Schizosaccharomyces pombe: one gene and its partners. The protein of the gene in region 3 purifies or fractionates together with the protein of the main gene of each other region. This does not show direct contact. Each region holds a gene or a part of one and is shown on either strand. Other genes may lie near its edges.

The links.
Region 1: the proteins of spt7 (region 3) and ngg1 purify together in Schizosaccharomyces pombe (affinity purification with mass spectrometry, with the first as the bait; one study listed by BioGRID). This does not show direct contact.
Region 2: the proteins of spt7 (region 3) and tra1 purify together in Schizosaccharomyces pombe (affinity purification with mass spectrometry; 2 studies listed by BioGRID). This does not show direct contact.
Region 4: the proteins of spt7 (region 3) and taf9 purify together in Schizosaccharomyces pombe (affinity purification with mass spectrometry, with the first as the bait; one study listed by BioGRID). This does not show direct contact.

What each region holds. Positions count from the first base shown.
Region 1 is NC_003423.3:1,585,977-1,590,638, forward strand, and holds ngg1 (SAGA complex subunit Ngg1/Ada3), read right to left. Parts: upstream 2,423-4,662; 5' UTR 2,367-2,422; coding exon 711-2,366; 3' UTR 616-710; downstream 1-615. Other genes in the region: transcription factor TFIIA complex large subunit Toa1, read left to right, coding at 1-441; upstream binding transcription factor, RNA polymerase I specific, Hmo1, read left to right, coding at 3,383-3,412, 3,605-4,507. UniProt on the Schizosaccharomyces pombe protein: Component of the transcription coactivator SAGA complex. SAGA acts as a general cofactor required for essentially all RNA polymerase II transcription. At the promoters, SAGA is required for transcription pre-initiation complex (PIC) recruitment.
Region 2 is NC_003423.3:1,902,076-1,907,507, reverse strand, and holds the start of tra1 (SAGA complex, phosphatidylinositol pseudokinase subunit Tra1), read left to right. Parts: upstream 1-2,089; coding exon 2,090-5,432. Other genes in the region: ribosome biogenesis protein Yar1, read left to right, coding at 1-276; ubiquitin-conjugating enzyme Ubc7, read right to left, coding at 764-1,017, 1,067-1,124, 1,521-1,709. UniProt on the Schizosaccharomyces pombe protein: Essential scaffold subunit of the transcription coactivator SAGA complex. SAGA acts as a general cofactor required for essentially all RNA polymerase II transcription.
Region 3 is NC_003423.3:3,261,403-3,267,905, reverse strand, and holds spt7 (SAGA complex bromodomain subunit Spt7), read right to left. Parts: upstream 4,637-6,503; 5' UTR 4,530-4,636; coding exon 3,956-4,529; intron 3,915-3,955; coding exon 3,715-3,914; intron 3,661-3,714; coding exon 3,622-3,660; intron 3,570-3,621; coding exon 3,468-3,569; intron 3,426-3,467; coding exon 3,287-3,425; intron 3,240-3,286; coding exon 1,996-3,239; exon of another isoform or gene 1,957-1,995; coding exon 1,813-1,956; exon of another isoform or gene 1,770-1,812; coding exon 1,555-1,769; exon of another isoform or gene 1,510-1,554; coding exon 1,188-1,509; 3' UTR 1,031-1,187; downstream 1-1,030. Other genes in the region: tan1 (tRNA acetyltransferase), read right to left, coding at 1-54, 104-309, 395-551, 602-712, 820-891; chaperonin-containing T-complex eta subunit Cct7, read right to left, coding at 5,102-6,320, 6,488-6,503. UniProt on the Schizosaccharomyces pombe protein: Essential scaffold subunit of the transcription coactivator SAGA complex. SAGA acts as a general cofactor required for essentially all RNA polymerase II transcription.
Region 4 is NC_003424.3:336,406-340,793, forward strand, and holds taf9 (SAGA complex/transcription factor TFIID complex subunit Taf9), read left to right. Parts: upstream 1-1,896; 5' UTR 1,897-1,986; coding exon 1,987-2,478; 3' UTR 2,479-3,358; downstream 3,359-4,388. Other genes in the region: rcl1 (rRNA processing protein), read left to right, coding at 23-1,114; protein Mcp60, read right to left, coding at 3,702-4,388. UniProt on the Schizosaccharomyces pombe protein: Functions as a component of both the DNA-binding general transcription initiation factor complex TFIID and the transcription coactivator SAGA complex.

The DNA of each region.
Region 1 (4,662 bases), 1.7 Mb from region 3:
ACCCCTGCTAATTCTCGTAATGACGTGCCTCAAACCGATGGTGCTATTCATGATCTAGATGATGCTGGGAGCCCTTCTAATTTTGAAAGTAATAGATTTGCTATTGCACAGAAAGCTGATGCTGAAATTTATGAAGTTTTGAAAAAGAATCGCATTTTGCAAATTGACGGCACTATAGAAGATAACGAAGATGAAAAAAAGCCACCTGTTGATACGCCTTCTGACGAAGCAATTAACTCAGATTTAGACGATCCTGATTCAGATGAGGCTCCCGAAACTGAAGAAGGTTCTGATATTGGACAGGCTATCGTTCTTTGTCTTTATGACAAAGTGAACCACCACAAAAATAAATGGAAATGTGTGTTCAGAGATGGCGTAGTTGGCGTTAATGGAAAAGATTACTTATTTTTCAAGGCGAATGGTGAGTTTGAATGGATTTAAAATTTTACTTTAGGTGTTTTGCTTCAAAAAGTGATGGACGTATTTTATCTATCAATCATTCTTCTTTTTGGCCTTTTTGTTTTCTTCATGAATCATGTTTATAAGTGCATTTAAGTAATCTTCCTATCATATTTTAGTGAGCACATCAATCTATTCTACGGTTAAAAGTATTATTATTATTTCATGCAAATTTTATTCACTAAAGCAAGCAATTAAATTAGATCACAATGATAGAATTACAGTATATACACTTTCAAATTTTAAACGCTTCATACAGATGTACTGTAATTAGATGTAGTGTGGTCCGATAAATCATTAAAAATAGAAGTTGGCGAACCAAGGTGTTGCGTAAGCTTATCCTGAAATAAAGGTTGAAGCTTTTCTAACCACATTGAGCGCTTGTCCATCAATGATTTGATGACAGGAAAAGAGCCGCTCGTAGCTGAAGAGCCAATTTTATCAGTAACAATACGTTTCTTTTTAACCTTCAAACTTCTGTTACGTTTGACATACGCTTGTTCGATTTGTTTATCTAGATCATCCATCACATTTTGGAATTCTTGAAATGCCATTTCCTCAGGAAGCATCTGTAACAGCGCATTCCTCATTTTTTCGTTTTCATCAGAAACTACCTTCAAACGAGCATTCAAACTCCTTAAGGTAGCTGAAATTTCATCATCCTGTCGCTTTGACCAATCTACATCGCCATCATAAAGTATACCTAGTTGTTTTAGGGTGTAACGAAGGCGGTCCTCACAAATTGAAAGACTCGACTCTTGTATATCCGGTTGTTCTGTATATTCATTATTTCCTGACTCGATTCCATCAATGCTTGTACCAATTTTGCTTTTCTCGGATCCAGAATCGGTTTCCGCAAATTCGCCAACAGCAATAGAAGGTTTTTGCTCCTCATCATTCTGCGTGTAGCAAGGAATTAATGAAGCCATTAGTCGTTCAGTGAGTGGACCACACCTAACTTCCTCAGAGACGGTATCTGCCTCATTAAAAGCTTCAAGGGATCCTTGAGCAGAGGTTTGCAGGTTTTGGTAAATTGAGTTAGCACACAGGTTGGTCATTTCATCTTCCGGAGTTAAATCGTAATAGCGTTCCCCCAAAGGAGGAATATTATAGGAAGACGAAACGTCAAATCCTTTTTTTAAAAAAGCAATATCATCATCATTGAAAGCACGAAAATATGGGTCAAGTGACGAATAAAAGGTTGATATTGAAATCTGGTTATTTGGCTTGTTGTGAGAAAAATCATCAGTCGCCGGAGTTCCTGCCACCAACGATCGTACATCACTGGTTGGAAAGGAATCTACACATAAAAGCTTCTTTTTTTGTTCATAAGAGAAGGAATCGTCAACAATGAAAGATAGTAATGAACCGGTTAGAAGATCGTTTGCGTTTTTATATACCAACCCAGTTGTCTGTTCATCTTTACCCTTAACCGGTAAATCTAATTCATTCTCAATTGTTTCCACATTTTCGGGACTGATTTCTTCATTATGGGCCTCTGAAACTTTGGGCTTCTTGGAAACTTTTTCTAGCATAGACTCTTGTGGACTTTCGGAAAGAGAACGCTTTTGCTTTATTTCTTGTTCAACGTTGTCTTCTTTAAATTCTTCTACTTTTTCTTCCACTTTATTAACCGACGATTCGTCTTTTGAGGTTTCTATTTCAGAATCGACATGAGACTCTAACTCTTCTTTGCGCTGGCGAAAATATTCTACACAAGACGGTTCACACTCAATCATTTTTTGCAGCTCAAACAGAAGCCGCCATAATGTCGACACAGACGGTACAACACCAGGAGTTGACGTTTCACTCAGACGGGAAAAGGTCTCGTATTGATTTTCAATTTTAAAACATTGAGGAATCACCGCGGGTTTCGAATCAGCTTCATTTTGTTGTTCGGAGGACATCCCAAAAAAATTTAAATCGTGAACAATACAACATTTACATATGTCTCTCTCCCCCGAAAAAATTCATTACTGAGGTGGTGATTTTTTATACCGGATTTCGATGATGGCGTACTTTTAGCGAAGTCTAGTATACCACTTGTTACATTGTTATAACGGTGCTCAGAAATATTAATCAAGAACAGCGTTGAATTGCTACGAATATGATATCTCAAACCAAATTAAACAGCAATATATTTTATTCATAGTGAATCCATCGCAAAAGCAATATGCTTTGCGAAGTATTTTGAACACTATAAGTGATCTTTGGTTTGTTTAAAATTAAATTTATCTTAAATTTAATAGTTTCTAAACCAATTGGTCTAGCGCAAGAACTAGATAAACAGAGTTGCAGCTTCACAAGATATCATGAAATAGATCTACGAGTCAATGGAATAGGATTTGTTTATACTTAATTAAGAGGTAAATATTTACAAGAAAATGTTTTATCATTTTTTTTTTTTAAATTTTGGATGTTTTTATTGCTATTCTTTCCATTTATGGGACATTATTTGACTGTAAGTCTCAGCAAATTTAGTGGATTGAGATTAGAAAAAGAAAAAAAAAAAAAAAAAAAAAAAAAATTTTTCTCGGTTGTAGATTTTCTCATATTTTCCTATTATATATTTAATTTACTACAATTGTCTTTTGTAATTTTCATTATATCACTCAACAGAATCACATGAAGAAATATCTCACTGAACCATCGTAATTTCAACAATAACAATTGTCACATATATTAAATAACTATAAACTGTAATAATAATAAAATGTGAAGAAAGCTCAACCGAACTGGTGGGTTTAACTGAAGCAATTTCATCTGCTTCGCATTTCCAGCATTAACCAACCACCCACCGTCATAACCGCTAAGATTTAAATTCCCGCCATCACCCCGGTAGGTCAGCCACCATTTCCTGTATTTGCCATCGTATTGAAGCTTTAGTTGTATTAGAAACTTTGAATATTTTTTAAGTAGTACGATGGCTCAAAACTCAACCCAACTGGAAAAGGTATGTGATATTTTAAAGAGTTTTGGTGTTTTGAACCAACATAATGTTTTATGATTCAAAAAATTGATTTAAATCAAGTATTTACTAAAAATAATCTTTTTTAATTGGTTGAAAAGTTTGATGATTAAATGCAAAATTTTCTTTAGTTATCCGCTTGGTTTTTGGTTTTTATCTAACAAATTGCCGTCTTAGATTTCTGGTTCTTTCACAAGGTTGGCGGAAGCTTTTCAGTTAGCTTTAACCGCATGCCGTGAGATCGAAGAATCACTTCCTTCGATATTAGGAGAGAAGTCCGAGGTTTCGAAACCTTTTAAGCCAGCCGTCACTGATCCATCAAATGCGAAGAAAGAGATTAATATGGCAATTGAGTCTCCTTCTAAAAAAGCAACTTCACCTAAGAAAGCTACTCCTGCAGCAGTAGCTCCTGTTGAGGCAACCTCCGCAGTCGATACGTCGGAAGCTGTAGCCTCCATGACCCCAAACAAGCGCAAGGCTAGGGATCCTGCACAACCAAAGCGCCCTCCATCAGCCTATAATCTCTTTCAGAAGAACCAACGATCGGAAATCAAGGAGTCTTTGGGCGAGAAGAGTAACGATGTTAAAGAGGTGAATAAAGCGATGCATGAAAAGTGGGGCTCGCTATCTGAAGATGATCGGAAAACTTACGAAGAAGAAGCTTCTAAACTTCGAGAAGCCTACGAAGAAGAAATGGCTGCTTATAATGCTTCTAAAGAAAATGCGTCAGTTGCTGATAGTCGAGTTACGGCTGAGGAAACTTCTACTAAACCTTCAGAAGACTTATCCTCTCCCACTAAAAAAGATTTGATAGACTTTTCAGAAACCAGACCATTGGCTCAAGCTTCTAGAGCCACTCCTGACATTAAAGAACAGCATGCTAAGAAACCGAAGCGAAAGCACACCCGTTCAACAGTACCTACAAGCAATGTTGAACCAGTTTCTCAACCTCAACCCTCTCCTGACAAAATCGTTTCTAGCCCCAATCCGCCATCAGCGAAAAGGGAAAAAAAGAAACGTCGCAAAAGCTCGATGTCTTCTTCCATTACCACTCCCCCTACCGCCAAAGTTGCTAATTGAGTTTGCTTGATAATTTCATTAATTGTGTATTTCCTTGTTCCGAACATTAAAGTTATAGGAAATGATTAATTAGCAACAAGTGTTTGCTTGTATTGCTGATTTGAGTGCTCTCTATTATTACTCAGGTTGCTAATGTCTGTAAATATTGCTTGTTA
Region 2 (5,432 bases), 1.4 Mb from region 3:
ATCCCGTACTTGAATAAAGAAGTAATAAATGCTCAGAATGAGAGTGGAAACACCGCAATGCATTGGGCAGCACTGAATGGACATGCTGAAATTTGCAAATTACTACTGGAAGCGGGAGGTGATCCTCATATTAAGAATATTTATGAGAAGTCACCTATATATGAAGCTGATATTCGAAATCAGCAAAAAGTAATGGACCTTTTTCTGGATTTTGAGATTGCTAAAGGTAGTGAAGAAAACACTGGTGATGAAGAAAAATTGGAAGATGGAATATGATCGTTTTATTTGATAATTTCTGATTTTTATTTTGTAAAAAAATTTACCTCTTTCTTTTGTAGGTTGTGGGAAGCTAATATTTTTATGCACCTGATGCATTTTTTTTTTCTTTTGGAGCATAATTTGGGGTTATTCTTATATTTTGTTAAGTTTTTTACTGTGTAATTTCTAGATGTTTTCTCAATATAATTCGTTTTCAGCGATGTACGTTGCCATGTATCTGTGTAGAAAGTTCAAGTGATGTTTATTAAAAGATGGATTATCTCAATAGACAAAATGTTTATCTTCCATCATTTACAGATAGAAATTGAATTGGAAAAGTGCTTTCATTTTTGTTTAAACCTTGTAATTAAACCTATGTAGCGTTATACGTTGGAATAGAAAGAGAAAAGCCTACCGGTTGCGTTCAAAAATGGAACAAAACTTTATTTCTAGATTTTATCAGGTTCGTTATTCATGGCAATCTAATCAAATATACAATTCATGGTTATAATCCCAAGGTTTTACGAGCCAATCGTCGAACTACACGACAATATTCTTCTCGATCTTCTCTCCACATCTTGCACGCATCGATGTTAGCACCACTTTCATCGTTTGGTTCCGCCAACATCGACATTACCGATAACAGTATTTTTTCAACAGATTGAACAGGAGACCAACGTTCTGAAGACGACTCATACATATTTGGATCGTCACCAGGTGCATGTAGGATGGAAATGCAAACCGTCCCATCTTTGTAAACTGAAATGAAGGTTAGTCTCGAAATTTGGATTAATAGTATCTGGCATACCATTTGGATGGAAAAATTCACACTCAAACTTTAAAGTAGGGGGGCCAAGAGGATAATCCTACATAAAAAAGTTAGAATCCAATAAAAATAAAACTAAGCACGTATCAACGTGCGCTTGAACACCCCGGATGTACTGCCATGCGATTCAAAGAAAGAAACCAAACCCCCAAAAAAAAACTTAGATAGATCTTTTAAATAAAATTTCTTCCTACTCATCAATAAATCGAAGGATTCATCAATTACTAATGAATAAAAGCACTTCTCTTAAATGATCATTCTAAACGAATGGATTATTGAGTTACTTTCTTTATTTACGCTGAACAAATGTTAATTTATGAAAAAGAGCGCGTATTTTTTAATAAGTAGTTGATACATAAAACATGCGAAACATCATACTTATCCACAACTTAAATCACATGTTCAGTCTCCATCAGGTTTATAGTAAAGGACTTACGGAAGGAAATTTCAAGGTAGCAGGGTATAACCCACCTTCAAATGGAGTTCCATCAGGGCCTTGAATTAGGCAATCCCAAGTAAAGAAATCATCCTCATTCGATGGACCTGCAGTAATACCATCAGGCCCATTCTCCGTTAACTCCTTATACTCCTTCATTAACCGTCGCAACGCCATAGCTTTACTCATTTTGGAAATCAATTAACTTACTAATCGGTAAGATATATTAAAGATCACTGACTAAAAGGTAGCCTAAAAATGGTAATGAACAGATTAATGAATGAATGGTTTGTTTACGACAAATTATGCAGCTGAGGCTAAACGAACTTTTGTGGTATCACTCGCTATTTTTATCTCGTTCATCATTTTAGCAACTTCTACCGCACAAAATAATAAGGCCGTTAATTAAAATAGCGAAAACATGTAAAATTCATAAAGTGATTTAGAGGAAAGAAATGCAGCTTGCTCTATCCCACAACATTCCAATAGTAATTGTTAAATACTTAGGAAAACGTATCCGAGTGCAATTGGAATTTAAAAAAGAGCTTGCGCAGAGATCCAAGCATCTGATGGATGTATCACAATGCGAACATTGGCATAATCGGCTTTGTGATGTTGGATTAGACTCGAAGCAAAAGGCAAACACAGCAATTGAAATTCGAGATGCACTGGATGATGTGTTGGTAACTGAAAAGACGAATTTTGAAACTTTCATTCCTCTTTTGGAGGACACGTTGTCTTTGCTTGAAAAGGAACGTCCTGTATTTTCATCGTTAGCAGCTACACATCGTTTACGCATTGCATTGCTTGAATTGCTCAAGAAATCTGGATCCTATAAAGGTTTTGAAGCATTCGTTAATCGGACTTTTGCCGTGCTTCTTCGTATAGTCGTTAATGATAATGAAGAGATGGCAGTGTTGGCATTGAAGCTTGTTGTCCTTCTTTTTAAGGACCACAGTAGCCTTGCTAAGGGACATGTTCAGGAATTTTTATCCATTGTCGTTGAAAACTACAAATCCATGACCACAGTTGTTTCAGAAGCTTTCCCACCTAGATCAGCTCCGAATACTCCATCCTCTCATCCCATGTCTGCTGCATCTTCTGCATCTCCTGCTGAAATTGGAATGGAACATGCAGGTCCAAAAATGATCCCAAAAGCTTCTTCGAGTTTCAAGGTCACTGCTGAATTTCCCATTATCGTCTTTCTCCTATTTCAAACATACAAAGATCTTATTCCGAAAATGCTTCCTTTACTTGCTCCGCTTGTACTTCAATTTATCTCACTTCGTCCTCCACCTCAAGCCGAAGCTCGTCGACTTGCAGAATCTCAAAAAGAGGTTTTTATTGGTGTAGTCCCTTCTTTGCGTCGAAATCATCTTTACAATGACCTTATTTCTGCGCAAATTAAATCATTCTCTTTTCTCGCCTATTTATTGAGAAGTTTTGGTGCTGCTCTTAAACAGTTTGAAAGCTCGATCCCAATATGTACCTTGCAATTGTTCATGGACTGTCCTTCCGAATTATATCAGACTCGAAGAGAACTTTTGGTAGCTACAAGGCACGTCTTATCGACGGATTATTTGAGAGGGTTTCTACCGTATGTAGATCAACTACTTGATACCAAAATTCTAGTTGGTTCTGGAATCACTTCTCAGCATTCATTACGACCCATGGCTTTTAGCATGCTGGCAGATATGCTTCATTATGTGCGTATGGAATTAAGTCCACAACAAATTTACAAAGTCATACTTCTTTATTTCAGTATTTTGATGGACGACTTTTATACTTCAGCTATTCAGGCAATGGCTACAAAGCTTATTTTAAACTTGGTTGAAAGAATTGTTGCACTAGAAGATTTTTCCACTAGCCGATCACTTCTATTTGCTATACTTTTATGTCTCTTAAGAAAATTGACTTCTCTGAATTTCGAGTTTATGAAGCTGAGAGATTCTTTACAGGAAAATGCTGACTTAAAGCAAATTAAAATAGAAGAAAATAAACATGATCTTCCTATGTTTGAGAACCCTACTGGAGCTGCCCAACCTTCAGGTTTGGATAAGCTAAAAGATTGCATATTTCTTTTTAAAAACACCTTATTAGGTATTAAGCCTGTTTTGTTTGGACTAAAGCAACGAAATATTCCTCTTGCCAACGGTTCCATTTTTACAGCTCAGGAATGGTCTGAAAAGTTACATCTTAGTTCAACTAATGAAGTTTTACTGTTTCGAAGATTACTTGTGGAAAGTTTAAAGGGATTCAGTTATTACCAGACAGATGAAAAAACCGGTGTATTCAAGTCCTCGAAAAATCTTGCATACTCTCAACTTGATTCTTCGTTGACCACAAACCCTTCTAAACTCTTAGAAGAGAAGGAGCTCTTAGAAATGTTAGCAACTTTATTTTTACACTTGGACCCATCTGTTTTCGTCGAAATTTTGGAATCCGAGTTTCCGAATATATTTGAGTGTCTAGTAGATAATCTTGCTTTATTGCATATTTTCCAATTTTGGATGTCTAATGAAGTTACTTCTGTCAACTGCACGGGCATCGTGCTGTCTTTTTGCTGTGACAATCTAGCTAAAATAGGGTCTGGCCAATCCACTCGGGTTTCTGTTTTATTGCGATTATTCAAGTTGGCCTTTATGACTGTGAATGTTTTTCCCGAAAAAAATGCAGAAGTCCTGCGTCCCCATATATCCTATATCATTTCAACTAGCCTCGAATTGACTACTGATGCTGTTGAACCTTTAAATTACGTTTATTTAATGAAAGCTTTGTTTAGAAATATCAGTGGAGGAAAATTTGATTCTCTTTACAAGGAAATACTACCACTTCTCCAAGTAATGCTAGAATGTTTCAACAGATTGATTTTTACTGTTACGTCTACATCCCAAAAAGAGCTGTATGCGGAACTTTGTTTGACTTTACCCATTAGACTCAGTGTGTTGTTGCCTCATATGAATTTTTTAATGAAGCCATTGATTGTTGCATTAAAAGGCCCCCCTGAAATAGCTAGTCAAGGGCTTCGAATATTTGAACTTTGCTTGGATAATCTTACTCAAGAATTTTTGGATCCTTTATTGGACTCAATTATGCCGGATTTGCTGATATGCCTGTGGAATCATTCACGCCTTAATCAATCCAATAATCAATTGCATCAAAGTGCTGTGAGAATATTAGGAAAAATGGGTGGTCGAAATAGACAAATATATCTTGGTACCTTTGGCTTTGATTTTTTGCAAGATGAAAATATTTTTCCTTCAATCCAGTTTTCTTTCCAAGGCTCCTCTCAGAATTTTAGCTTAGAGCACTCCAAATTTTTAATGTCTTCATGTGCTGTTTTAAACAATCAAAATTCCGATTTAGAAGAAAAGAAGCAAGCATTTCAAATGGTCAAGAATTCGTATTTATTACTCTTTGCGTCTGCGAAGCCCGATGAAGACTTTTGGGAATCTATTGATACAATGTGCCGAGCAGTTGTAGATCGCATGGATAAAAACTTACAGCAAGTCTCTAATGGTAGGTTGTGCCCTGACAAAGATGAATCTTATTATCTGCAAAGATCTATTGTCTCAAACATTTTTAAATCTTTAGTCGGCTCAATGTCTTGTGTGGAATTTGTAGCTGAAGCTCGAGAAACCATCAATCGTTCTTTGGAATGGCTCATTGTTCTTGATTTGGTTAATTACGCTGACTCTCTGCAAATAAAAGATCAAAATATTTTTGATAATTTGCAAAGCATTAAAATGCTTGATCTTACTACGTGCATCAACGGAATTTTCGAATCTTTATGTTCTGAAAATGAAAATACCAGGTCTAATGCTTTATCGTGTATCGATCATTATTTGAACGCCCATAAGATGCTTCTCAACACAACATTGGATATATCAAAGTTGCCTAGTTTTCAAAATC
Region 3 (6,503 bases):
ATCATCTTTTTTTAGGACTGTATGATTTCGGATATTGGCTTGAACAGCGAACTCCTGGAGTTAGCCTATTGTATGCTAAAGCCATATATTATTGCTAACTTACCTTAATCCCTTCCTGGCCTTCATGAAATAACGGGTCAATCAGACTTTTAGCAAGCTCCTCGAGATCATCCAGGGAAACGCCAGTTGTTCTTACAATCGGTATCAATCGTTGTGTATATCGAGTCATTTTTTTGGTTTTCCCAACTTCACAAGTAAACTCTACAAGACGCACTGGATCAATTGGTGGCCTTGTTTTTACAAAGTAAACTTCAAAAAATTAATAAACGGTCATAATAATTCAAATACGAATAAACATCTTAAACTTCTAAAATTATACTGTTTATGCACCTACCACAAGGCATATCTAGCATAATTGGGGTTAACAGTTCTTTTTTGTTCTTTTTTTGGAGACTATTAATCTCCTTAGCAACTGCATCTTCTAATTCCTCGCCTTCTTCTTCGTTTTCTTGATCACTAGATTGAGTTTCTGGCCAAAGAGTAGCTATATGCTATTAATCATCAGTTTACGCATCCTTAACCTGACAAATGTCTTGCATACCTGAGTAAAAACATCAAGAATCTCAGACGATGATTGTCTTTCTTTACCGCGAGGAACAGTAACTAAAACACCACTTTCATTTTTTTCAATCCCTGTTCTTTTGTACTTAAACTATACTTAATAGTTAGCTTTGTTTGATAAAGATTCCTTTCCTTTTTAAAAGGTCGCTCACTGCTGTTATGAGCGTTCTCGCGCTTTCCCATTTCAGTATGTGATACTTCAAGGTGAAAGGTAAAACTCGTCTCAAATGAAATAATTAGGTAACTTAATATTTCGGACAATGCACTCATAATTAGGTTAAATGTGTTGCTAGAGTAATTAATAAATAGTTATATGTTAGTGATATTATATCTTTATTTTGCAAATTCAAATTGCCATTCGGACCCCGATTTTTCAGACATTAATAATTACTAAAGAACACATCAGACATAAAGCCAAACCAAAACTAGAACCATTATAATTATTACTAAAAGAAACTTTAAACTTTTTTAAAGTAAAAATTATGTTTTAAAAGTTATGTCTCCATTGTGGTTGATACACATCTATATACTAGTTGTTTTTGACGTTATAAATAAATACATATGGCCTATTCTTCAGGAAGAGTAGTTACCTCAGTACCTTGCTCATTCTCCTTTAGGCAGCGCTTTTTTCTCAAGGATTGATTTAAAAAAACTGACGAAGCAATTCGCTTTCTCCCAGTGGTAATCTTTCCGTTCGGAGGTAGACGCGGTCGCGGAGGTTTGCTCCTTGGCCTTATGTCTTCATCTTCCAACAACTCATCCAAACCGAATTCCTCTAGATTCTTCTTTAAAAATCCTTGAATCAACCCGATTTCGTTAGAAATACTTTCGGCGGTGATGGGAGGATATTTTGGAGGTGGAGCGTACTCTTGGTCACCCTTTATCGTTCTGAATGAATTAGTATCAAATCTTTCAAAGATATTATAAACATACGCTTCGGGTTGCCAACTCATATTCGACCTCAATCTGCTTTGTAATAAATGCAATGGAACCGATAGTGAATCTAAGCCAAGTTCTCTATCTAAACCAAGTTCCCGTAGACCAAAGAAATCATCACCAGTCTCATACGAAAAATTTCCCGTTACAAACGACTCTCCATTTTGGTTAAATATCGCTTCTTCATCATTGCGCTCAGAAAGTGCAGGACGCTAATCCGGTTAGTAACACTACTTAATAAGGAAATTCGCATACCAATAACTCAACAAAATGCCTTTGAAGACGCTGATGTATTTCTAGCAACTTCACGCTTTGGCGCTCTACATCATGATACACATATGAAATTAAATCATTCACATCGTCAACACCTAATTCCCCTAGGGTTTGTCCAACAATTTCCTAAATTGGTCAATATAACTGCATAACGTAATTAAATACCTGTTGAGATTTGTCTTTCCCATAAATGAGATACTGGTCCATGACAGCACCCATTTTTGCCATGTAATCAGCCGCTATTTCGGTCAAAGCATCCAGTGCTCCCATTTGAAACGACTCAAATCCAGCATGGAATAATATAATGGTACAAAGCTTTTTTAATACATCGTGCGCCAATGGTTTAAAGGAGGACATGTTATCGTAATTTTGTGGGATATCCAAAAGGATGGGTTCATTGTTAGCAAACGGGACATGACTTTTATGATGTTCATAATAAAATGGCTGAGGAAGCTGTAACTGGCGAACTGTTTGGATTTTATTACATAATTTCCGAATTTCTTGCATTTTAGCAATATTTTTGTACATCAACGAAGGTACACCAGGTGTGTTGCGATTAATTTCAAAAAGAGAGTAGTCCCTAAAGTATAAGTCTTCTTCACTTTCAGTCTCCAAGACGCTACCAGCGGTCATCGGAACGCCTGAACCCACATCATACTCAAGTAATGGGGTAGTATCTAATTTCATTATTGGTTCAAAATCACCTTTATCCATAGGTAAACAATCTATACTTCCATAAGCAACTTCTCGATCTATAAAAGCTGACATTGCTGTTGGCTTCCGAATCATAGGTAGTTCAGTCTCAATAAATTGTAAACTTTTTAAAATCCGCCGATTATTTAAGATATGGCTTTCACGAATATCCTTTGTTTTGATTTTCCAATATTCAGTAGCAACGTCAGACAAAGGTTCTTTTTCTAAAGTGTTAGAACTCTCTATAACGGCCGCTTCATTGACAGGAGGTGTTGAACCGCTAACAGCAGGAGGTTTAGAGGTCTCAACTTCTTTCTTTGTAACAGGAGTATTGTTTTCTTCGGGGCTATTTGCATCAGTATGAACTTCAACAGCTTGTTGCGTTTGTCCGCCCCTAGAAGATGTCTTTTTAGAAGTGACATGTTTTGATGTCTCCGCTGTTGATTCTTCATCGCTTTCAAGCTCTGCTTCAATTAAACTATCATCGTAATCCTTACGAGATTGTATTACTATATCAGGAATGAGGTTTATTAATTCCAAAGACTTGTCTTTCATAAACTGGGCATGTACGCGCAAAGGGTGGTCGGGATGTGAATTATACAAAAAGCAGTTCGACCAAATTAGCATTAAATCATGAACGAATTCTTTTTTGCTATTATAATGTAAATTTTTTAAGTTCCTTAAAATGGTACCAAGGTCCATCGGCTCCTTAATTACTACAAAATGTTAATGAGAATTTTAGAGTTATTAGAATCACTCTTACCAGTATAATAATCAGGTGCATCTCTTTTGCTGACCTTGGTTAGAAAAGCCAAAGAATGCTCCGTATATGATCTAAGTTCCAGGACCACTTTTTCTGCTGCTTCATAAAGCTCTTCTTGACCAATTCTTTGATCATTCGCCTAGAAAACATTAATACAAGCAAAAAAATAAAACTTAAATACCCATTTTGATTTATTTTTTTTAACATCGGATAACAATTGCTTCACATCAGCATCGGTGGCATTTATTTTACTTCTATTTCCCTCCAAATATTGCAGTAGATACTAAGTATTAGTTTTGGTTGACAACAAGATTAGAAAGTGATTAAAAGTATACCTTAAATGACGAGGTAAGTGATCCAAACTTTGAATTAAGCTAAATTTTGTTAATTAAAAGGAATTAAAATAACTGATAAGTTTCATAACGTACCGATAAATTATCAGATAAATCAAGAGAGGATGAATTGTTTTGAAAGCTGGATGTATTAGGGGTTGATGTGTCTTCCTCATCTTCAAATTTTTTCACTTCATTGATATTTTCAGAGTCATTTTCTAAAGTATAGTACACATAGTTGAAACTAATATTGCTGAGTGCCTTATTTGATTCGATGGCTGCAAAACCAGAAGTATCTAAAATGTTAGTATATAAGAATACTTAAGGGATGACTTACCCATATCATCTATATCGACAGATTTCAAATCTATAATGCTTTTTCGTAATGATTTATCCTTTTGAAGATCCAGAGTAATGGTAGCTTTAGACGAGTCTTCGGCATCAGATTCATCAAAATCATCATCATCAAATAGTTGTCTTCCAGTTGCTTCAGACTTTTTGGCATCTCCCTTCTTTCTTTCTTCTTCCTCGGCCAACGAAGCTTCTAAGGATATGTTTTGATGATCAACATGCTCAATAGATCCAGAACTTGTGGAACTTAAATCAAATAAAGCTGGATTTATTTTAGCGTCAAATATCATACAACGACAGCGAAACAAAGTAGTAATATCTAAATCGTCTTCCTCATCATCGTTACTGCCATTCGAGTCTTTTTCATCGCACAACTTATCCCATTCTATTACATTAATGAATCGGTTCCATAGAAGAGTGTCATTTAGTATAGAAATATACTTCCTTTTTTGTTCTGGGGACAAATAAAGGCTCCAATAATCATTTTTAAGCAGCGCGATTGCAATGTCATGAAGAACAGGCTCATCCAACGACTTTGAATCTTCGAAATTAGTCTCCATTCAAATTCTCCTTCCCTATGTATAATAGTTCATAAATGACGCGTGATAAATTAAATTAACAACCACAATGGATAAAAAATAACACTTGAGATATGTGAAGGTTTCATACTCGTTTGTTTCGCTAGCGTCGGATATGGATACACAGCGATTTCCTGAAATATGTTTAACGTACTGTAACAATTGAAAATAACGATAGAAATGAAGCAATATATGTTCTGTTTACCATTTCATACCAGTATACTACTATAAGTTTTCGAACTTAAAAAAAGATATTTGGAAGGTATCAAAGTATCACATATAAATCCTTATAAATTATGAAACAATTTAGTAACTTTTAGTAATCACTGTTCATATAATATCGCAAAAGTGAGTGAAGTGACAAGAAAATAATCCGCGATGCAGAACAATATTGTAAGTCGTAGCTAGCGCTCATAAAGATAAAATAGCTAATTTAGAACCAATAAGTACATTACGCCCTGTTTATAGGTAGAAATTCAAAACGAATTGTCCAACCAAAACAAAAAGTGATTTAATTGATTTTATCTAGATAGAATACAATCCTAGAAAATTTATTAGCGGGGCATTCCTCGACCTCTACCACGCATAATCCTATTAGCAGCGCCAGGAGGTAACGCACCCTGTGGAGCTTGAGGTTGCTGTGAAGGTTCATTTTTAATAGTCTCGTCAACGGACAGAATTAGAGTAGCTGCCTCAGTTGCTGATAATATGGCATTTGATTTGACGGTGCTAGGCTCCCAAACAAACTTCTCAAAATTGTTTGCGACCCCTTCGCTATCCATATCTACACCAGCCCACATTTCACCCTTGGCATGTTGCATACGGAGTTTATTCAAAATATTTGTTGAATCGAATCCTGCATTATCACACAGCTGACGAGGGATTACTTCCAACGAGCGAGCAAAGGCAGCTATAAAATTCTGTTGTTTACCAGATATAGTAAGAGAATAATCACGGAGATATTTAGATAACTCCATCTCACAAGCACCACCGCCAGCGACTACTAAGTTATTTTTTAACGCATGTTTAACAATCATAATAGCATCATGTAACGAGCGTTCCACCTCTGCAATAAACTGATCAGCACCGCCACGAAGAATAAGAGTGCAAGTCTTGGCCTTGGGACAACCTTCAAATAGATTGAAACGATCACCACCGATTTGACGCTCCTCAAAAGTATCACAAGTACCTAGGTGCTTCTCCTCAATATTTGAGCAGGTAGACTGGATGGAGCCGCCAACTGCTTGTACCACACGATTTAAATCATCTGCAGCAACCCTTCCAGCACAAAAAATGTCACGATCCGCGAAATATTGGGTGGCCAAATCACCGATGGGCAATTTTGACAAAACAACTTTCGCACCAGTAGCGACAATCGCTTCAAGTTTGGAAAAAATGATACGCCATTCAGCATCGACGATATTCTGGTATTCTTGAACTTTATCAACGCGAACTTCAGCATTGTCTTTCTCGGCCTTTAATTCCAACTCAACGTCCAAACAAAGAATTTTGGGATTCTTGAAGAATTTTGGCTGTTGTTCAAAACCAGCATACGAAAATGTCTTTTTAAATGCAACGCCCTTAACAAGAAGTGAATCCTCCATTGCTCCTCCAGGGACTTTTTTAATACCAATCATGTTTTCATTCAAGTCTTCTTGATCTAATGTCAAAACAGCATCAACTACCATCTTTGTAAAAAAAGTAGAATTCGAACGAATAAGCTTTGAGTTCATTGCAGTAGATGCGCATTTTGTTAACAGATCTCGTAATTTTCTGTAAAGTATTAGTAAACTGAACAAATATAAAATAACTAAAAATCCTTCTAATAAGTAATAAAAAAAGTATAGCGAAAAGCACCAATAATAAACTTTACAAAACTTATTCTAAGCAAGCTAGTTAAGCAATGCCCAGATAAAAATTCTATAAATTAAAAGTCTTACCCTTCGTCCGATAAAT
Region 4 (4,388 bases), on a different chromosome or scaffold from region 3:
ATTTTGAATTGTTAAACTCGTGATGTCAACCGGTCAGCTCAAACGCTTTAAAGGATGTGAGTATTTGACGCATCGGTTAGTCCTTGCAACTCTCTCGGGAACTCCGATTCGAGTTGAAGGAATTTACCCAGATGAAGCCGATCCTGGTGTCAAAGATTACCAGGTTTCGTTTTTAAGGCTGTTGGAGAAGTTGACCAATGGCAGTGTCATAGAAATTTCTTACACAGGTACTTCGTTCATATATCGCCCAGGAAATATTATAGGAGGTCGTGTAGTCCATGATTGTCCAACTACCAAAGGGATAGGCTATTTTTTGGAACCAATTCTAATACTTTGTCTTTTTGCAAAAACCCCTACTTCACTTACTCTTACTGGAGTTACTTCCAGTAATGAAGATATTGGTGTCGATGTTTTGCGCACTAGTGTATTACCCTCTCTTCAAAAGCGTTTTCAAGTTGGTGATGAACTTGAGTTGCGCATATTAAAGCGTGGTTCTGCTCCTGGCGGAGGAGGTGAAGTGAATTTTTTATGTCCTGTAATTAAAGAGTCTTTACCTCCCATTCGTCTCTCAGAATTTGGAAGAGTCTTCCGAATCAGAGGAATTGCTTCTTCAACTAGAGTATCTCCCGCTTTTGCAAATCGCTTAGTAGAATCTGCTCGCGGAGTTTTAAATCCTTTTATACCCGATGTTTTCATTTATACAGACGTTCGCCGTGGAGATGAATGTGGTAACAGTCCTGGGTATTCTATCACTTTAGTTGCAGAAACTAATAAGGGTTGCTCTTATGCTGCCGAGCATTGTGGTGAAGCTGGAGAAACACCAGAAGATGTTGGTTCCTTTTGCGCAAAGAAATTATTGGAAGTTATTGAATCTGGTGGTTGTGTAGATCCATATACACAACCTTCAACTTTAACCGGGATGCTACTATCCTCTGAAGACGTTAACACAATAGTTGTGGGTCAACTTGGTATTACTTCGCAATTAGTTGTTTTTCTTCGGGATGTGAAGGCACTTTTCAATTGCGAATATAGATTTAAAGAGCTCGAATCAGGCCAGGTGGAGATGTCATGCTTAGGAAAAGGATATTTAAATGTCAATCGCCGCATTCAATAGAAAACCATTTATCAGTGGGTCCTTTGCTCGTTTATTCTTCTTAAACATCATAACATTACATTTAACATATTGTTCGGGTACTTAAAATGAACGAACGTCTTTTTGATATATATTTACTCTTTAATCGTACTAAGAAGTTCATTACCCATTAACTTCCCATTGCAATTACGACATGAGTATAAAAAAAAAGCACCATACATATTTAGAGATTTAAATACGTTTTTGTGACTCAGTTGTTTTAACGGTCTTGTTATGTTCATTTTCAATTATGGTTTGAATTTTTTTGGTTTCCTTTAAATTACTTGGTTCTGTTTCTACTTCATTCTGCTTTAATATTTCTTTCCCGATGCCTCTTTTTCAGAAAATTAGTTCTTAGATGCTCTTCTCATTTGAAAATCTCAACCTTTTTCCATGTCCTTTTGTAAAAAAAAAACACTGCCAATTTTTAGTAAATTTGTATCATCATTGATTTTGTATGAATGATCCTGTTCGTTTTATTATTTACTAAATGAGAGTTTTTACTTTACGCTGCTTATACTAAAATTTTATGTAACTTCTAAATTATTAACATTGGTGATACTAAAAGCAACTTTGATAGGAATTGCTTTAATGAAATCATTCCTTCTGCATAAATTAAAGTTTGCTTAGATAAATTTTTATGACTCGAAATATTTAGTAATGTATATGTAAAATAGCATTGTTGTAAACTTTCTGAAACAAGCTATTTAGTGGTGTGCAGTGGACTCACGCTAACTTCTGAGTGGATACAATTTGCAACGCTCGCAACGACCATAAATCTTTTTGGGTGGTAAAACAGAAAAATAACGGGAGTCGTATTTGTCTTCGCATATACTTATAGTATTTAATAAATCATGAGTTCTCCAGGAATAAGTGATGAATCTATAAAAGGACCTAAGGACGTTCGTCTGATTCATCTAATACTTAGCTCTCTGGGTGTTCCATCATACTCTCAAACAGTGCCTTTGCAGTTGTTAACATTTGCACATAGATATACACAGCAGTTAATCCAGGATTCACAGGTTTATGCGGAACATTCACGTGGGCAAAATGCTCCAATTTCTGTAGAAGATGTACGTTTAGCTGTTGCTTCTCAAATCAATCACTCCTTCACTGGACCTCCACCAAAAGAATTTTTACTAGAGCTTGCTATGGAGAGAAATCGAAAACCTTTACCCCAAATTCAGCCGTCTTATGGGTTTCGTCTTCCACCGGAGAAGTACTGTTTAACTCAACCCAACTGGATTGTCAGTAATGAAACCCAACAGAATCAACCAAAGGAAGAGAACTCCTCGGATTCACGAATGGAGGAGGATAAACTTGACTTCTCTGTGAAGTCTGAATAAATTTATTTTCCTTTTAAAGTTGTTACTAATGCCGGGGAAGTGCTGATGATTTAGATATATGTAAATATTTTTGAAGCGCTCACGAATCTTTGCAGCAGATGATTATGGTTTTATTTATATGATTTTGTTCCTCCAGAACTTCCTATTTAACTTGCGAAAGCAGGGCGTGGGTAATAAATCGTTTACAGTTATAAGGTACCTGTTTATTTGTTTATTTGCTACGAAATCAGTGTATGGAGCAAAAAAGTATACAACATTTTTAAATTCAGCTCATATTGTACATTACTGTACACTGTATCTTTTATATATGGTACGACATAGAATAGAAAAAAGTGAAAGAGACGGCAACAACATCAGTGACGGCGCGCTTTTTCTTAAAATGTTACAAAAACTGGAGTAATTCATGTAAGGCTGTGAAATTGGCATGAGCTCGTCGAGAGCTTTCTTCAACTACTAGGCTCATTTAAAATTTACACCGCACCAATGTTTCTTTATTACTTACAATTGCCTCTCATCATAACTTTGAAAATACAATTTACCACAATACTAGTGATAACATAATATCATGCATTTTAATTTTCTTTATATGACCTATACAGATCCCCTAAAAAGAATATAGTAGGGATACTCGCACGACAGCTAAAAATATATAAGTTATATAATAATTTTGAATCAGAAGGAAGGCAACGGAAATATCCACACATTTTTTGCGCTCTCGGACATATATTTCATCCGCGTTATTTTCATCATTTTCAAAATCATTTATCTCTCACATACTTCAACCATTTCAAAGCTCACCACAAACCTGTATAGGAAATATAAAGAAACTTGATGCTTTACGTAAACACAATTCAGAACTTACAAAAACACAAAAGTGAAAACTTGGTATTTAAGTCGAAAGTCATACCATTCGTAAAAAGAGTGAAATTATAATGTGTAATAAACACAAGGTAAAACATTATGTTCATTAAACAAAATCAGGAGTTTGATTGTACAATTAGCAACCATATGAGAATAGCCGAATGAAAAGTTTCAAAACAATAAGTATCCATTAACAGAAGTATGACCCATTAACTAGTTTTGAAACTAAAGAATTTTACGAAGGTCAACAACATAATGCAAAATTAAAGCCAATTTCTCTGAATGGATTTAAATCATCATAATCATAAGCTTTTAATAAATTGTAAAAATTTAAAAAACCACGTCGGCATTTTTTTGATACCTTACATCATACCGGGCATTCCACCCATGCCACCCATTCCGGGAGGACCAGCAGGGGCCTTGGACTCTTCAGGAGCATCGACGATGGCACATTCGGTGGTACCCATTAATGAGGCGACTCCACTAGCATCAACTAAACCGGTACGTACGACCTTTAGGGGATCCAAAACACCAATTTCATTTAAATCAACAAAACGATCCTTAGCAATATCATAACCGATGTTAAATTCCTTGCCATAAAGCTCCTTAAGTTTACCAACAATCAAGTTACCCTCTAATCCAGCATTTTCAAGAATGGTTTGAGCGGGACGAGTGATAGCTTTGCGAACAATTTCGACGCCAAGCTTTTGATCAAAGTTATTTGTAGGAATGTCTCCTAAGCGAAGACTAGCCTTAACAAAAGAGGTACCAGCACCTGGGAGAACACCCTCGGAAACAGCAGCCTTAACAGCATTCAATGCATCAACAATACGGTCTTTCTTCTCGTTGACTTCAACTTCACTGGAGCCTCCAACCTTAATAACAGCAATACCACCGCTCAATTTGGCCAATCTCTCTTGAAGCTTTTCTTTTTCGTATTCAGTGAGATTAGGGTCGGCCATGACACCACGAATCTGTTCACAACGGTCGTTAACTTTAACATGGTCACCAGCACCTTTCATAATGATAGTGTCTTCCTTGGTGACAGT